4 linked regions of the Sus scrofa genome follow. The protein of the gene in region 3 interacts with the protein of the main gene of each other region in a pairwise test. Links are inferred from orthologs where the notes say so. Each region holds a gene or a part of one and is shown on either strand. Other genes may lie near its edges.

Evidence for each region. The genes of interacting proteins can lie anywhere in the genome.
Region 1: the proteins of FATE1 (region 3) and SYNDIG1 interact in binary tests that used the Homo sapiens proteins (3 or more experiments, as listed by UniProt). The two-hybrid records come from large-scale screens. The link is inferred for Sus scrofa from reciprocal best matches to the Homo sapiens genes FATE1 and SYNDIG1.
Region 2: the proteins of FATE1 (region 3) and KCNS2 interact in binary tests that used the Homo sapiens proteins (3 or more experiments, as listed by UniProt). The two-hybrid records come from large-scale screens. The link is inferred for Sus scrofa from reciprocal best matches to the Homo sapiens genes FATE1 and KCNS2.
Region 4: the proteins of FATE1 (region 3) and RPRM interact in binary tests that used the Homo sapiens proteins (3 or more experiments, as listed by UniProt). The two-hybrid records come from large-scale screens. The link is inferred for Sus scrofa from reciprocal best matches to the Homo sapiens genes FATE1 and RPRM.

Annotation. Positions count from the first base shown.
Region 1 is NC_010459.5:30,620,128-30,624,981, reverse strand, and holds the start of SYNDIG1 (synapse differentiation-inducing gene protein 1), read right to left. Parts: upstream 3,361-4,854; 5' UTR 3,145-3,360; intron 2,941-3,144; exon of another isoform or gene 2,686-2,940; intron 2,510-2,685; exon of another isoform or gene 2,361-2,509; intron 1-2,360. UniProt on the Homo sapiens protein: May regulate AMPA receptor content at nascent synapses, and have a role in postsynaptic development and maturation.
Region 2 is NC_010446.5:38,371,056-38,375,940, reverse strand, and holds the start of KCNS2 (potassium voltage-gated channel subfamily S member 2), read left to right. Parts: upstream 1-1,525; 5' UTR 1,526-1,541; coding exon 1,542-1,654; intron 1,655-4,885. UniProt on the Homo sapiens protein: Potassium channel regulatory subunit that modulate the delayed rectifier voltage-gated potassium channel activity of KCNB1 and KCNB2 by altering their kinetics, expression levels, and shifting the half-inactivation potential to more polarized values.
Region 3 is NC_010461.5:123,110,972-123,113,962, forward strand, and holds the end of FATE1 (fetal and adult testis-expressed transcript protein homolog), read left to right. Parts: intron 1-589; coding exon 590-672; intron 673-924; coding exon 925-1,003; intron 1,004-1,695; coding exon 1,696-1,827; 3' UTR 1,828-2,207; downstream 2,208-2,991. UniProt on the Homo sapiens protein: Involved in the regulation of endoplasmic reticulum (ER)-mitochondria coupling. Negatively regulates the ER-mitochondria distance and Ca(2+) transfer from ER to mitochondria possibly implicating it in the regulation of apoptosis.
Region 4 is NC_010457.5:61,140,038-61,144,883, forward strand, and holds RPRM (protein reprimo), read right to left. Parts: upstream 3,361-4,846; 5' UTR 1,849-3,360; coding exon 1,519-1,848; 3' UTR 650-1,518; downstream 1-649. UniProt on the Homo sapiens protein: May be involved in the regulation of p53-dependent G2 arrest of the cell cycle. Seems to induce cell cycle arrest by inhibiting CDK1 activity and nuclear translocation of the CDC2 cyclin B1 complex.

The DNA.
Region 1 (4,854 bases), on a different chromosome or scaffold from region 3:
TTATGTCATGTTGGCACAAGGCCTCCAGTGCAGTGATCCTGTGTCCAAGCTGGGGCTCTGATGTCACCTGTTCCCCCAGTCCTGTGTGACTTCCCACGAGAGGACAAGGCCGCTCTGCCTCCCGTTAGCCCAGGGCTGTGCTGATGCTGACACAGCAACACCCCACCATCCATCTTTGCACCTTCACCCACTCAGTCCAGGGATATTGCTCTTGATGCGAGTCTGTTCAAAGCCCAGGTCAAAGCACTGTGTCAGCCCACTGGGCCACGAGGAACCCCAACACGCCGGGCCCTCAGAGGCCAACAGGAGGGCCTAGGGTTATGCTGGGTTTACATAAAGATGCTGGCCAGCAGGATGGTTACTCGCATCCCAAAAGGTCAGCTACGTTCCTCTGTAAAGGCACCTTACAAAGGGGTTCACAAGCTTGGCTGCAGCCTGCAAGCATGTGGAGGACAATTTTTAGGAACGGCTTTTCTGTTAGGGAAGGTGGGGAGGTATGGGGAGGCAGGGACCCCCTTCCATGGTCTCTGGAAGCCGGCCCCTGGCTACCTTTTCCAGCCAACCGATCCCCACATTCGGAATCCACCTGAGTGAGCCCAGTCTCCAGGGGGCGTCTCCATGGGGCAGGTGACAGGCAAACGTCTCTAGTTGAGAGATAAACTATTCAGCCCTCGCTTGAACCTCAGAACAGCACCCACTAGCGTCTCCCATAGAAAACTTACATAAGAAAATAGCTTTGTATTCTCTAATAACAGTAATAATCTTGAGAAGACATGCGTTAGAGCTAACGAGAAAGGGCAGTCAATTCAGAGCAGTGCTTTTAATTTCTGCTGATGCGAAGTGTGGTAGAAATAAATTGCTTAGGATTGATGAATAGAGTTTTAAAAGTTTTTTTCCTTTTTTTTTTTAAACCAGAAAAAAAATATTCTGCTCATTGTGGTTCAAGTGGAATCCGTTTATCCCCTGCACTAGCCAAATGTAATTGTTTCAAATGTCTCTCTTCTCAGGATCTGAATTTCTCCTGCTCGAACTCCCTTCTTCATGCCTTAAGGAACGTTGGTAGTTTTCTTTTCTACGCCCAAACGGACAAGGGGCACCTTCATTTCTATTTTAATATCACCTATTTCTACGGCAAACATTCAAAGTTGTTTCTGATGCTGGTTAGATGAAGATGAAATGAAGTGTCATCAGCTGGAGATTCAAGGGGCTGCATGTGGAGGTGCAGTGAAGTGGGAAGGGTTTCCAGGTCCTTCCTCAGACACGGTCCCCTAAACTGCGGGGCGGGGTTGGGACGGGAGCGAAGGGCGGGTGAGGGGACACTGCAGGGTTAGTGCATTGCTCTCCCCTCCTTGGTGCACCACGGACATTTTCCTCTATAAAAAACTTAGAGACAGATCCCCCCAGGTTCCCTTTTACTTAACAAGGCCCTCTTGCTTATGACAATTCCATTTTCATGCAGTAGGTGGGGGCAGGGTGGGAGAGGGCACCAGATCAGCGACAAGTCAACATTTGCCCCTGGGGTTGGGGGTTTGCGGAGGGCTCACCCTCAGAGGTCTCAGAGGCCCGTACCTGTGGTCCGATCACCAAAAAGACATTCTCCACAACCACCCGGCACACAGCAATAAGGCAATAATTCATCTGAAAATGTGTTCCAGCCACTTCCTGTCCTAGCCAGACTGGGCATCAGACCACCACTTCCCACTCTGGCTGCGGTGAGCATTTAGGGAATGGGCCCCTGAGGCCCAGGGGACCCACATGCCAGCACCAATACCCCGGGGCCTGGCAGTCTCCCCTCAGCAAGGAAAGTTGGCTGGCTCCAGGGTTTGTTATGGGCTCACCCCACAGGCTGCAGGTCTGCGCAGCAGCCGCTCCCTTTGGGCTCTGACCAAACATGCTGGCTGGTAGGAGGGGGGCCACAGATACACCGACCCCATGCTCACCCCACCGCCTGAGCCTGATTCGAATTGAAAAACGGAGCCACCTACCCCAGCCCCTAAATCAGCCAAGCCCCCAGCCAGTGTCTGCTGCACTGAACCGGGAAGTGGCCAGGGAAGGCGCAGACATGAGTCCAGCCAGGAGCCTGGCGCCAGGGCATCTGACACCGCAGAAGGGCTGTGCGCACCTGAAGTCTGGGAGCTAGATGCCCAAGCCAGGGCGTGCAAGGGGACCCCCAAAGAAAGGAAGGCGACCAGAGGACCCCTTCCTGCCTTGCTTCAAAAAAGCCAAGTGATCCCACTGGCAGCCTCCTCAAAGCAAGGCTGTAAGCGCCCACTCCACTGGAGTCTTTCGGAAAACGCATCGCGATCAAAGCCCTTCCCCAGGAAAAGTGCCCAGTTCTGCCCGTAATCCTCTCCCCGCACCTTGGAGAGGGCACAAGAAGAGGCAGAGATCTCACCGAGGGAAATCGAGACCAGAACTTGAACCCGAAAGCGCATCCACTCGGTCCCTCTCCGCGCAGTGGCTGGCGGCTCCCAGGGCGGCTGGCTGTCTCAGCTGCCAGGGACCAGACAGCCCGCCGACGCGAGGGGCTCCCGGAGTCCCCGCCCCCGCCGGGTCGCTGGTAGGGAGTCCCCATGCCCAGCGCGCTCTCAACATCGCCTTCCTTTTCCCCCTCTGCACGGCGAATAGAAGCCCGCTTCCTTTCCCGTCCATCTCGGTCCCCAGCTCCGCGGTGGCTCTGCTTACCAGCCCCAGCCGGTCTCCTCTGGGTCGCTCGAGGGGGTCTCCCGGGCCCGCGGAGCCAATGCCTGCCGCGCTCCTCCACCCCCGCCCCTCGGGCAGCGCCGCACCGCCGCGCTCCCGGGTCTCGGTCTTAGCAGCTCCCTCCGACTTCTCCAAGCCGTCCCTCCGCGCGTCCGGGGCGCCCGGAGTGGCGAGGCGCCAAGCTGCAGCCCAGGCTGCCAGCACCCGGTCCCTTCCTCCGCATCTTACCCGCCCGCTCCGCTCTCCCCGGCGCTTGGCGACCCCACGCCTCTCGGGTCCCGCCGCCCGGGCCACCCCGACTCACTCAGGCGCCGCGCCGCCGCCGGTCTTCGCGCTCCGAGGCGGAGCCAGGACGCTTCTCCGCGCGGGAGCCGCCGCCCGCTCGCCACCCGCCCCGCCGGCCCCTCTGCTGCCCGCGCTGCCGGGGCGGCAGGGACTTACCTCCCGGACAAGGTGACCCGCTGGTGCGCCCAGGCGGCTGCCGGCTCGTCTCTGGAGGGAGCGAGCGCGGGCGCGGGGAGGTGCGGCGCCCGCCTCTGCTCCCGGCTCCCTCCCCCGCCGCCCGGCCCTCCCCTCTGCTACCTCCGCGCCGCTCGGCCCTACGCTGGCCGCCCGCGCCCGCGGCTGCCCCGCGCTTACTGGAGCGCTGGGCGCGGGGCAGCGGCGCCGGCCGGGGCGGCTGGGGCTCCCTTGCAGCGGCGACGGGGTGGAGCCTGGCCCCCTGGGCTCTCGGGCGAGGAGGGTGCGGGAAGGCTCCTCGGCGCGCGCCCGGCCGGCGGGTGGGCGAGGGGCGCCCAGGCGCGCCGCTTGGCTCTCGAGCCTGGAGACACGCGTGCGGGAGGCGGCGGCCGAGGGCTCTGGGATGGCAGCGAGGAGGAGGAGGAGGGAACGTCCCCGCGCTGAGGCGGCGCCAACTTTGCCCCAGGCCGCCGGGCCCCGCTGGGGATCGCGTCTGGCAGGTGGCCCGGGGCTGGTGTTTGGGAATGTGGGTGACAGAGGCTGGGGGAAGGGGCGTCCGCTGGGGACTAGGAGGGCGGATTTGCCTCCCGGATCGGAGAAGAGATGGCTTCCCTCGGTCCTAAAGGCCTCCCCAGGCGCCAATTCTTGGATTTTTATTTTTTCTTTCTTTCTTTTTGGTTTTGTTTTTTGAGGTTCCTAAGGTCCTACTTTATAGGCCTGAGTCTTAACCAGCCAACCATCCAGGAGAAACCAGGCGCGGGGGCCCAGACGCTGGACCCCGCCCAGCGTCAAACAGGTCTGCTTTGCTCGCAGGGCTGGCCCTGGGCAGCCGGAATGAAGAGGAAACGTGGGCGGCGGGCGGTGGGGGCGGGCATTATCCTGGTGAGGAGAATGGGGAGCGGGGCGGAGCGAGGCAGGGCGCCTCCCAGATTTATTATTTTTTAAAATTTCAGACCTTGAGGGCTGCTGGGGAAGGGGTGTTTTCAGTTTGGATTTCATAAAGAACTGACTAAGAAACAAGTACCAGAAAGGGAGTCAAAAGTAATTTAGGAAAAGAATCTGTGAGTCCACTTCTGTCCCAGGCAGAGAGGTGCCAGGCGCCCCGGCCAGGCCGGCACTGGCTGCACCTGGGGGGCGGGGGCGGGGGCGAGGGGTCAAGGTCGGTTATAACCCTACTTGGTGCAGACCCTCCCCCTCCCCCACCCTTGCACACCCATCCCTGGCCCCTGAGGAGGCACCTCTTCCTCTGCTAGGCCCCGGGGTGGAGTTTGCTGAAGGCTGGAGTTGGAGGTGGTGCCAGAGCAGCAGGCGCTCCCTGAAGTTCCCTCTGTGGTCCTGGCTCCTGTGGGTGGGCAGCAGCCCAGAGAGAAGCTCAGGTCCCAGTGCACCTGGAAGGGGGCATGGGGGTGGAGGCTTGGAAGGAGCACCTCCTGTGCTCTGTCTTTACCCACCTGAGCACGGTCCCATCTCCCTCTTAGCAGCAGGGCAAAGCGCAGGCAGTTTCTCCCTCCAGATCCCAGAGCTAAGGCTGTGCCCTCCTGGGCCTGCTCAGATGGAAAGATATGTCAGCTGAGAACATAAACTTGCCACTGTTCCTGGATCCTCTCCTGCTCAGAGCATGCTCTCATCTGAACCACTCCGCTGAGCAGATGAACTCATTTGAGGTAGAGAATGGGTCTTTCCATTTATCAG
Region 2 (4,885 bases), on a different chromosome or scaffold from region 3:
TTAGTTGAGTCGCACGTAAGCAAAGAGATGAAAAATTAGCTTAATTTTTTGGCTGCGGGGAAGAGTGTGAATTGGTTTTCTGTCACTTGTGGGGAACATCTTGTGTCTTCCCTCAGCTGGGTTTCTCTGATGGGATTGCTTCTTCCCACCCTCCTGAAGGTCTCTGAGGACAACTGCTGCTTGGCTATGACCTGAGGAAACCTGTAGGGCCCACAGACAGACCAGTTCAGGGTGGATGGGGTCAGGGAGCTCCTCTTGAGAACAGCTGTGCCCCCACCCCTGCCCCAGGTCTCTGGGCAACCAAAAGCTGACACCAAGTAGGTCACTTGATGGGAGTTTGTCACCCACAGCGCCAAGCTGAGCACTGGGGAGGTGTTCAGAAACCCACCTTACTGTCTCAAAAAAATGCATCAGGGAGACTTCCGGAATCACTGGGTGGGGTGGGGGAGAAAGGCTGTAGAGAGGCCATGAATGAAGTGTGTAAGAACAAATCTCTAGAATCAGCCCGTTTTGCTTTGAATCCCAGCTCTGTCTCTGGTTGGCTCTGTAACCGTGAACATGTTATTCCACCTTTCTGTGCCTACTTAACCTCAAAAAAATCGTAATTCATACCCCACAGGGTCATTGCGAAGATTAACCTAGTTTATAGCATGAAACCCTTGGAAGAATGCCTGGTGTATAGTGAATGACCAATAAATGTTAGCTTTGGTTATTATTATAAAGGAGCGCTACTTACCTCTGGGAACTCCCACTTGGTCTCCTGTGGCACCCCTCCCAGACACGGTACTTCCGAGTGCCTCTCTGTTTAAATACTGCAGAGCTTTTGCTTTATTTTAAATCCAGGAAGCTGACTGCCTTGATGGACTGACATGTAAGCCATGTGTGATCTGCAAGTAGGGAGCACTGTTAGAAGGATGGGACCCCATCAGTCATCGAGAGTTTGAGTCCACTAGTAAAAATGTTGTGGAAACAGCCTAGAGCGAAGAATCTTTCAGCAAACCCAGAGCAGACTCAGGCCCTGGAGTAACCATGGAAACAGAAGCCCCGAGAGGGATGGGTAAGTGGGTGGATGGATGGATCCATCAATGGGCGATGGATTGGTGATTGGGTGGGTGTCACTTTCACAGAAGAGTGAGGGCCTGTGGGCAGCAGCTGTGAGCACCTCTGAGCTGGGGGAGGTTGGGGGAGCTGGCAGTGTGTCCTAGGACAGACTGTTGGGCGTGGTAAAAAGCCAAACAAGACAGGGCAGAAAGAGAATCTTTCCCTGAGAGATTTTCCCCAAGTTCCCAGCCTAGGAACTTGGAGTAGAGGTCAAAGGAGGAGGACGGGAGTGGGTTTTCAGCCTTTGTGGCTTCCAAGTCTGGGTTCTGGCCCAAAGAGTCTGTGACCTACCTAATATCCTTTATTACATGTTTCTTCTGCCTAATTCTCTGCTGCTGGCAACCAAGAACTGGGACTGACACCCTTTTTCAGACCTGCAGTGTGGATAAGTTCAGCACTGAAAATGTCCTTCTGGGAAAAGGGAAACAAAGTCTTCTCTGATGCTGAGAAATCATCTCGGATCCAGCTCAGGACTTCCAGAGAAACAGGATGCCTCGGGCTTGTGTCCTGGAGTGAAGTCCTTCCAGCCAGGGATGCTTTCAGCTGTTTCATGGTAAGCTGTGAGTGGGGACTTTCCTGCACTCCCCCTGTCCCACTTTGGGAGAAATGGGCCCAGGATGTCCACCTGCCTCTATTCATCCACAAGCAACAAGGTGGGGTGCCCAGTTTCTCTCCTTCCTGCAACTTCCTCCTCCTCTCCCAGTTACACGGGGCCATGTCACTGATTTCTGGCCAAAGGAATGTGGGCAGGTGTGAAGTCTGCCCCTTCCAGACCTGGCCTTGGGAATACCTTGTTCCATCCTCCATGCTCACTTCCCTCATCTCCCATGTTAATGCAGATGGTCCCAGGGAAGGATTCCAAGGCCCTAGAATGAATAGAGCTCTAGATGGAAGGAACCCAGATTCTGGAATCACCAGGTGGAAAACTGCTACCAAACACCCAATTGGACTATAATATGAATAAGAAATGATACCTTTAACAGGTTAAGCCACTGGGATTAGGGGTTGTTGGTTATAGTGATTAACCTACCCTAATTAATCCTGTACTTGAGATCATGAAGAGATCAGATTTTGGAGCCAGAGAGACATGTTTGAGTCTAAACACCTCACTTCCTGGGCATCAGAAAAATGAGGATAGTAATAGTACCCAAGTGAGCACAGGAGGCAAGCAGAGAGTTTAGCACAGGGCTGATCACTTTATATTCAATAATTGGTACTAGTCATGGTTAACATTAAGCACTTACCTTGTGCCAGGCCTTGGTAGCTCTCTGATGCCTCTTGTAATTCTCACAATAGCCTTGTGAATTAGAGACTAGCATAGGTTTTTAAGGATGGGGACCATGAAGCATAGAGCGGGTAAATGTTTTGCTCAAGGATACATGTCCAGAAGAACTGGGCTAGGACCAAGCATTCTGGTCCTAGCGGCTTCCCTATACTGCTACCCTCCCCATCATCACTCTCAGCTTCATTTTCTCCACCATCTTCATCTTCTTCAGCCACCTGCCAAGGTGGATGGTTGCTAAGATGCCTCATTCCCTGAACACTGGTGAGTGCCTTAAGGTAAACAGTCCCTTTCTGAATATCCCCCTGGGCCCAGAGAGTAGGGCCAGGGGGAGGGGCTGGGGGCTTCAGCTGTCAGTCACCCAGAAAAGGGTCAGGAGAGGAGGGACAGGAGAAATGACAGGCCTGAGGCAGATGGAGAGGGAGCTCCTGGGGCTCCGGGGCTCAGACTCCACCCTGTGGGCTCTGAGGAGGGCCCGGGGTAGAGGGAAAGACAGCCAGACCCCAGAGGCAGGCAAGAGTGAGTCTGGGAGCCACGTCATCCTCCTGGTGATTTCTCTTGTGGTGACCTTAATTCTAAATGTAATCAAGTTTATCTTAATTTTTCCAGCTTTGTCCCAGGATATTCTGGGAATTTAGTGAAGGGCCCCAATGGAGGGATACCAAGGTGGGGCTCCTAGGGAGAGCCTCCCCAGGAGAAGGGTCCTGGAGCAGAAGGTGCAAAAGGTGGGACCTCGAAGTCTCAAACCCTCAGGAGCAGGATCTGTGCATGCTGGCTGTGGGACATCTGGCCCCCCCTTTTAGTAAGGGGCTCAGAGAGGAGCCCTTCAGAAGCAGTGTTCTCTCCCTTATTGACCTCCAGGGGCACCTAGGAGGAGTAGGAGCACCTAAGAGCTATAGGAGAAGAGGAGAGGGGCCTCTGGGGATAGAGCCAAACAGCCTAGGCAAGGAATCACACAATAAATTGTTTGGCACCCAGAAACAATGCAAAAGCTATATAAACATTTACTGTTGCCTCTCGAGAATATACTTAAAGAGGAATTGCATTCATAATGCAGCAAAAACTTCTAAGAACCCTTTGTTCTCCAACTTTTCTCTCAATCTCCTCCACTGGGCTCTTTCCTCCCGTCCCCCACACCCTTTTCCCAAGACTCAGCCCCACTTCCTCAGCGCAGGTGGCCCCACCTGCTTCCCTCTTCTCTTCCAGTCTGCCTCTGTCCGCAGCAGCTTCTCTGTGCCCTTTCCACCATAAATCCACCAGGACAGGCCTGCTAGCTCCCTTGTTCCTGGCCCCATTACCACCATCATCATAATAAAAGCTCAGAATGAAGCCTGTTCCAAGGAAGGAGGGAAGCCGATGTAATGATTTTGAGAGGCACCATCTCTGGGAGAACTGCAGGAGTCAGGGATTGAAGGGAGTGGGTGAAAAAGGCCCCCAGCCCTTTTGGTGCCCCTGTTTTGGGCAAGCACTGACCCTAGTCAGGCTAGGGGGTGGGTATTTACTGAGCTAAGACACAGCCCCTGCCCTTCGTGCTGATCCTTGGGCTGCTCTCAGGCACACAGCTCTGTACCAATCTCCCTAAAGACAAGGTGCTCAGGCTCTCAATCTCGGCTCCAGGCTCCACTTTGTGCTGACTTAAGGGGCTTCAAGAAACACTGATTCCACAAGCCCTTCACCAGAGATTCTAATTGAATTGGTGTGAGTTGAAGCCTCAGGCATCCAGAGGCATCGGTTATTTTAAAATCTCCACAAGTGTTTCCAATGTGCAGCCAGGAATGAGATCCATTAGGCTAATCAATTGCCTGGGAGAGCACCCTGGAGCCTGCAGGGCCCAGGCCACCGTTCCAGGCACAGCCACCCTTCCCCCTCCAGCTGCCTTCTTGCTCTACTGGGAGGAAGAAGAGGCGGGGCCAAGACTCTGGCTGGCACAGAATAATGAAAGACAGAAGACTAGTTTCATTCACTTATCATTCAATCATATATTCAATTAATAACTACTTAATACTTACATCAATAACTACTTAATATAAATGTGAAAGAAAGGGTAGAAATTGATTGAGGGATCCAATTTAGGTTGGGCAGTCAGGCCTCCCTGAGGAGGTAAGATTTATTTATTTATTTATTTATTTTTTTGTCTTTTGTCTTTTTGTTGTTGTTGCTATTTTTTGGGCCACTCCCGCGGCATATGGAGGTTCCCAGGCTAGGGGTTGAATCGGAGCTGTAGCCACCGGCTTACGCCAGAGCCACAGCAACGTGGGATCCGAGCCGCGTCTGCAACCTACACCACAGCTCACGGCAACGCCGGATCCTTAACCCACTGAGCAAGGGCAGGGACTGAACCCGCAACCTCATGGTTCCTAGTCGGATTCGTTAACCACTGCGCCACGACGGGAACTCCCAGGAGGTAAGATTTTAAATTGAGACCTGAGTGACAAGAAGGAGCCTGCCCTGAGAAGCTGCCATAATAAGCAGAGAGAGCAGTAGGTGCAAAGGCCCTACTTC
Region 3 (2,991 bases):
TGTGGTCCCTGACGTGTGGTAAGTGTGTGTTGAGCAACTTGCCCTCCAGTTGAGATTTGAATCCAGGCAGGTCTGGAATGTTCTTTTCTAGCCCACACTGGCTCTTCAAGGCAGGAGACACTCCGACCCCAGAGTGCTGGGCCAGGGACTCCTATTCCAGGGAGGCCTCGACAGGTGGATAAAAATGAAGACCGCGCGGATGGCTGGGCTCCCCCAGAGGAGGAAGCTACGGTTTCCCCGGGCCCCGGCTCTTACTGTGCGTCCGTAGGGAGTGTGGTCACCTCGCTAGGCCTCAGTTTTCTTGGTTTTGAAATGGGGCTTTTCCCTCTTTCTCCTTCAGTCATTGCTCAGATCAGCCGGTGTCTGCATGTGACAGTGCTGGCAGAGGGCAGGGACACCGTCACTGCTCTTCTTTCATCATAGCCTGGGTGGCCAAGAGCTCTTGAGGAGCGTGGTCCATGCGGGGTGTGGCCGGCGGCCACCTCGTGGGGTTCCCAAGCACTTCCAGTGGGTCCTGGACAGAGTGCGGGGCAACTGCTCCGCTGGGCCCTCTGTCCAGGCTGCTCTGCCTGACCGTTCCTTTCTCTAGGGGCCCCAGCTGCCACCAAAGAAAGCGTCCCAAGAACCAAACCAGGAGGGCGGCTTCCAAGGCATGGGGTTCCTTTACGAGCGGTAAGAAGGGTCCCAGGGACAAGGCTGGGCCACAGGGGCTGGCAGGCAGGCTGGCCAGGGGGGAGCGTGAGCAGCTGGCCGTGCCAGCGGGGCTCGGGCTCCGTTGCCTCCTGGCCCCTGGCTTGCTTGGGGCCCCTGCGACTGGGCCGCTCCCAGTCTTCAGGCCCCAGGACCTGCTTACCAGGGGGGGAAGGACCCGATCGATGGGGGTCTCCCAGGAGCTCTGACTCTCACTCTTGTCTTTTTTCCCAGCAACCTGGGGGCAGACGTGATCGCTGAGATTGGCCTGGAGGAGCTAAACGGGCTGGAGATGGAAATCATGAGAAGACAGGTGAGCGTCGGATTGCCGGGGAGCCACGCGGAGGGTGGAGGCCGAGGCCCAGTGCCCTGGGGCAGGCGGGGCCTCGACACCCGCCTTGGCGATGCTCAGCCTTGCCAGTCGCATTATCCTCTAGCGGTGGAGGTGACGGTGACATCCAGGTCGCCCTTCCCTCCCCCCAGTCCCCTTGGCTCCCGTATCTATCCTGATGCCCAGCCCCAACCCTGTGTCTCTCCCCGAGATGCTGGAAGGAAGAAGGGGGGGCGTGAGGGGGGGGAAGAGAGGACATGGGGGCACAGGAGAAACTGGTGCTGAAAGAGCCATGCCAAGACATCTGAGTGAGGGGTCACCTTCCTTCAGACCAAGCCCGCGTCTTCTCAGGAAGCGACCCCAACAGGCAGGGGCACGGGCCTGGGGGACAACTTCCCTGGCAGCCCCTCTCTGGCCCCTAAGTGTCACCTCATCCTATGGCCCTCACTCTGCGGTGGCACAGCTGGGATGGGCTGGCTTCTTCCAGACAAGAGGAAGGTCCCCAAAGTGGGGGCGAGGCGGCGGGGCCCACCCTACACCCTGGCCTCAGCTGCCCGGCCTCCTTCTGGTCCAGACCCCCTTCCTGCTCTGAGGTCACACTTCTTCCCCCCGCCGGTGTGCGCAGGCTTCCCCGGAATGGCCTTGCTCACCTGCCAGCTCTGGTCTCTTGGCAGCTGCAAGTGATCACCGGGCGGCTGCGGGCCCTGGAGGACCAGGGCGCCACCTGGCGCCACAGGGAGACCCTCTTCTTCACCATGCTGGTATCCGTCTGCGTTGCCAACCTCTGGCTGTGGCTGCGCCAGTGATGCTTCACGCAGGCCACCTGCACATGGAGCCCTCCCCTCCTCCCCTTCCTTCCCTCGGCCACCCCTGCCGTCTCCTCCCCACCCTTCAGCAGCAGCTGGGAGGTGGAGGAAGGTCCGAGGGGGCTGAGAGGCAGCCCCCGTGGAGGGCAAGGAGGGTGGCATCCAATTGCCTCAGGAACACCAGGGGTAGGTGCTTCCTACCTGCCTGTCAGGGCTCCACGGTGACCGTCTTGGAGCCACATCTTGCCTGGGGGCCCTCGGTGTCCCTTCTGTTCCATCCTTGGCAGGGGCTTGGCTGTGTCGTCCCTGTTTTCTTCAATGTCATGCATTGGGCTCTGCACAGAGAATGTTCTTAATAAAAGTTTAGTGATAGCAGCAAACCCTGGTGGCTGAGCTTCTTGCACCCAGGACTCACGTGGGGACAGCCTATCCAGACAAAGACCCTGGTGCCCCTTCCTGCACCATCCTCATCCCTGTGGGGCAGAGTGGGGGGTGCGCCTTGGGGGCAGGCTCTGGCCTGTGGGGAAGCCACTCTGCGGCAGCCTGTCCAGGTCAGGCGATGCAAGGACTCAATCAGAGGAAATGTCCTGGGCAGGACCAGAAATGTTGCCATTTGCTCAGGAGGAAATGGAGTCCCAGGGAAGGGGAACGCAGCCCTGGGCTCATTCAGCAAGACTAAGGCCGGGCTGGGGCTAGGAGGGCTTCTCCTGAGACTGGCTGAGGCTCTGACTCAGCCCTGGAGGTTGCATGGGGGCCCACAAGGAGGGGCTTTGACCCCCCCACCCCCACCCCTCCGCCTCGTGTCACAGCCCTGTAACATGCCCCTCGTGCACGGGGAGGGCAGGGGGGCGTTGCTGGGTAGAGAATTGGGGCTTGGCCTGAGAGGGCAGAAGTGTCACTGCTTGAGTTCTGGCTGCAGGAGGCCTTCAGAAGAGTTCTGCCCTCCCCCTGGGCCCCAGGGATAAACTCACATTTCTCAGGGGGGCAGAGATCCCATCTTTACATTGTCCTTGGCTTTAGTGGCTAACTGGACCTTATTCAAGCCCCCAAACGTGTCAAGGCTTCCCCATCTACAAATGTGAGAGAGTCTGTTAGTCATTAGATATAAAATAAACACAGGCAAGTGTGTGTGTGTGTGTGTGTGTGTGTGTGTGTGCATGAGTG
Region 4 (4,846 bases), on a different chromosome or scaffold from region 3:
AGAACTTCTGCTAACTCCTCTGAACCTTTTGCTCTGGCCTGGGGCTGATTACTCACTCCTGGTTTTTCTTTTAATTTCGCCCTTAAGCTAGAAAACATAATATGGCAAAGACAATGCATGCCATATTTTAATAACAATAGTTTACCCCAGGGAGAATTAGTGTCACTGTGTGCTTTAGGAGCTACTTTTCTTTGATATATATTTTTTTTCTTTCATCAGCATCCTGATGCCATCTTGCTGACGTTGGTCAGGGGAAAGATTCTCTCCCAGAAGGCTGTCTCTTCCTTTCATTAGCGGGTGTAACCCAGTGTGTTCCCACCGGAGCCCTGTACGGAACGGAAGTGTAAACTTCCCGCGGGGGCCTCGTGTCCTCTCTGCTGGCTCAGAGAGCTGAGCCTAATGAAATAAAAAATACTAACTGTAACAAAGGATGCTGCCTCCAGGATGGCTCCTGTGCTTGTGGCTGGGCCCTGTTTTACTCGTCCCTGAGCCTCTCCGTCACCCCCACCCTCATCCCCGTGGGATCTCGGAGTTGAATCACAGATCTCCAAAGCGAATTACACCCCGACAAGTAACCCAAGTCCTCACCCTCGCCCACTCCCTTCCGCCGGGAGGGGAGCGCAGAATGATCACCAGGAGGCCAGGAACAAAACACTTAAATGTTGCATTTATTAGGTAAATGTTAAAAAAAAAAAGTCAAAACGGTGTCACGAATGTCAAGAGCACTTTTGTGGCGTAAACCGTGCAGTCACGAGCTATGAGTTCTATTCTGGGTCTTTGCCTGGGGGCCAACAGGAGTGCCAGCCCCCGCAAAAGACCTAGTGGGAAATGTGATAAAAGAAACAACTCACCGTGTTCACATTCGCAGGCTACCCCTCCCCCACCCCTTCTCCCAACACAAAACTCTAACCCGCAGGCAGGCAAACGGGCCACTAGGGCAGAAAAAAATACTTATCAAATATTTGTATTCAAGCAAACAAACACAAAATCCCTTAAAACAGCACGTTACAATCAATCAAAAGTATTTATCGCCTCTCCTGCCAGGGCTGGGAGGAGCGCGAGGGAATGGGCGCGAACCCGGACACGGATTTGTGTGTCCGCATTAGTTCTGTTGAGTGGCGTATATGGGTCAGTTTTCCGGTCACCAGGCAATCGGTGCCGCTGGTGTCTCCATGCCCGCCCTCTCCACCTGCCCCCAGAGCTTGGCCCACCTGCGGGTGGAAAGAGGCCTCGGCCGGGTTGGTCTCCCCGCATCCCGCGCTAGCGGCAGCTTCCAAAGTTCTGCGCCCTAATCGCTTTCTTTTTGACACTTGCTGCTGAGTCCAGTCAGGGCTCTCTCCTCCAGCCAGGCCTGGGGACTTTGGGAGGGCGAGCGAGAAACGTGTTGCTTCATTCCGAAAGGCAGAAGTCAACAGAAATAATTGACTCCCGACAGGTTTTCTTCTCCTAGTCTCGGATGGTGAGGGGGCGCGGCCGGGCTGGAGAAGTGGGGCGGCTGCCGCGGGGGTCGGGGACCGGTCAGTAGGGCCCCACGACCACTGCCTCCACCTCCTTAGACGGTCTCCGGTCCTTCACCAGGAAGTTGATCATGCCCTCGGACTTGATGAGGAGGTTGCAGCCAAGGAAGAAGATGCCAAAGACCACGGTGAGCGAGAGCACGCACATGACGGCGATCTGCACCACTCGCATGATGTACAGGCTGCGCTCGTCCGGGCCGCCCTCCGCGAAGCCGTCGTCGGTCACCACGGACGCCTGGGTGCAGCAGCGCACCGCGCGCTCCAGCGCCTCGCTGCTGTTGGCCAGGAACAGACCTGCCACATCAGTCTGGTTGCCCAGGGCTGGATTCATCGCGGGAGCGGGCGGGCGCCCGGGGAGGCGCGGGTCCGAGGGGTGGGAAGGCGGTGGCGCGGAAGAAACAGGTGAGCTGAGCGCTCACTTGCCGACTTGCGGGCGCGGGGGTTGTTCGCCCTCTCCTTTCCAAAGTCTCCGAGCCGTGGGAGTTCCCCCGGAGCCTTTGCGACGCGCGCCGCAGCCTGGCTAGTCTGAGCGGTCCGATCCTGCCCGGGAGACGCTCCTTCCCGGAGATGGCTCGACTGGGGGCTGTTGGAACTTGGCGGGGCTGGGCCAGCGGGGCCGTGGGAGGTGCGGACCGCGGCGGCAAGGCGGCTGCTCTGAGTGAACAGCGGCCCCTTCCGGCCGCGCCGCCGCTGTGCGCCCGCCGCGGTTGGACTGTAGGAGAAGCAAAGGGGTAAACCTCTTCTTGTAGCTTTCCTGCTTCGCTTCTGGTCCAGCTCCAAAGGCTAGGCTGAAGTCTCTGTAATTTTCTGGCTTGAAGGATGATTGAAGTTTCGGGTGGGGGAAGAGTTGCGACTGGCCGAAAGTTTCCTAAGAACTGGGTCACACCAGCTCAGCATGTCCTTTGCCTCCCGCCTCTCTCACCTCCGGGAGGTGGAAAGTAGCAATGAGTCGCAGATGCCAGATGCTGCTGGCAAATGCACGGACCCGCCGCCTGTGCCTGACTTTGTCTCGCTTGCGACAGATTTCTAGTGTAGTAGGGGTGTATTTTTTTAAAAAGCAACGATTTTAGGAAGAAAGAAAAGCAGGGAGGGAAGGAAGACGGGAAAGAAGAAAGGAAGAAAGGGAGGGAGAGAAGAAGCAATTGGAAGAGTAAGGCCGTTTTTATAGTGACTTTTGAGGGAAAGGAAAGGGAGTTAGGGGAAGGAAAGGTTCTTAGGTGGCCTTTGTGTAGAAGCGGTTGGCAGAAATAGGGTCACCTCTCTGGTAAGGGAGGGGGGAAGTGGACAGAATGGCCACCCTTGTAATCTTAATTGCCAATGAGTTTTTGGATGTACTTCCAGTGTTTTGCTCTGTTGGCAGTAAATCACTTGTTTAAGGGAATTGCTCATCAACATCCATTACTTAGAATACTGGCCAGCTGCTGGAAGCCCTCCCCATTTTCCGTAAGCTAATGTATTTCACCTTAGTCATTTAAACAAAATTGCAGATGTTCTAGGGGTCTGATTGAGGCTTCAGCCCATTGTGATTTTGCTTCTGGTTTCAGTGAAATGTTACAAACCTGTTAGCTTGTTTCTTGAGTTCTAGAAGAATACTTTAGAGTTTTTAAAATTTTTTTTCTACTTTTTTTCTTCTTCTTTCCCTTCCTTTTTCTTTCAAGTGTGGCAGCTGGAAATTTGAAGTAATTTGAAGTCTAGTCCAAACTTTTGATAGAATACCTTTATTATATTTCTATTAAAACAAAGTAGCTGCCTTGCCATTTTCAACCCTTTTTCTGAATTCTGTTATATTCTCTTGTTAAACGCTCTGATTTTTGTCTCCCCAAACATAATTAACTCCATTTTCACAGGTTTCAGTGTGTTTTTGTACTACTTTGTGAGCACAATAGAGTGAACTGCATTTTAGCAGAGAGTTTTCAACTTTTGGATGTTAATTTTTATGTCAGCTCTATTAAGTTTAGACCCTTCTAAATAGCTTTTTTAATTTTTTTTTTAATTTTGGGGGGGTGTTTAATAGCTCAAGACCCAGGCTTCTGGGCCTCATCCACAATTCACCTGGGTTATTGTTCTAGTTTCCCATGGTTATAATTGTCTTGAAGAATGCTTCTTTCCCGACAGTTGCTTCTTTGGATAAATTTATTATTTATTGATTAAAAAAAACTTATTTAAATATCACTCTATCGTCAGCCTTAGTTCATATGGGTGATACCTAACAGTAAAACAATACCTATGTGAGAAAATCATAGAATAATTTAAGATAATATAAGGCAATACTAAAATGAATGGTAGAGGCAAGTAGTAGGAGTTTGGAAAAGCAAAAGATGGAGAATAGAGGTCAACTTTAAGGGATATTAGCTTGTACAGGATTGTGTGTTTAATACAAGTTGGATATGGATGAGTAGAAAGAATACTCCCTTTTTATGTGACAGAAACAAGTAGAATTATAGTATATTTGTCAGGTCCAGTTACGAAAAGTTCCTAAGACTGCTAATTGAATCATTTCAGAATCTGAGCATATTTATTGATATTAACAATATTAATGTTTTAGTCAGAAGTCAGTGTAAACATGAGCAAAATTTGAAGTCCAGTGGAGGTTCTGTAATGTTAAACCTCTAGATTTGAGAAATACATTCTTAAAAGAAATTAGGTAATACTCTGACTTCATTTTCTTTCAGCTTTAACCACTAACAGCCACAAAATTATAGATAAGATAATGGTTATTCCCATCAGCTAGTTCATATCTCTGGGGAAGTGGTTTTGTTTCCTTGAGCCCTCTGCCCCAACCAGCCTGATTTTGTTGAATAAAATTTCTCAGAGTATTTAGATGGACATTAACTATAAAGTTAGTAGTACAAAACTCTCATTTATCACTCACTTATTACTGGATTTAAGGGGATTAAACTGCTAGAGCTTTTCAACAGAAATTGTCTTTCCCTTTTGTATTTTGAGGGAACATTTTTCTCTCAGCTTCACTCCTGTTATTCATCTATTTCCAAGAAAAATCTTAAGAGATGTGGCAAATAATACTCTAAAAATGTTTACGTAGAAAAACAGATGGCAATATGAAGTGGAGTAATTTACTGATAATTCACCTCAAAGAAAAGGATTTTGATACATACAACAATTCATTATTATTTTTAAATAACTACCTCTCCTACGTTATTGGAGAGAATGTTTGATTTCAACAAGTTAAATGCTCAGCATTTCACAATATACATATTACACAAGAAAGGAAACATTTTTCTGTTCTTTCCAGAAAATATATCTGTGGCATATAGTAAATTCTATAAAGATATTCCAGGGTGGAGTTCCCATTGTGGCGCAGTGGTTGA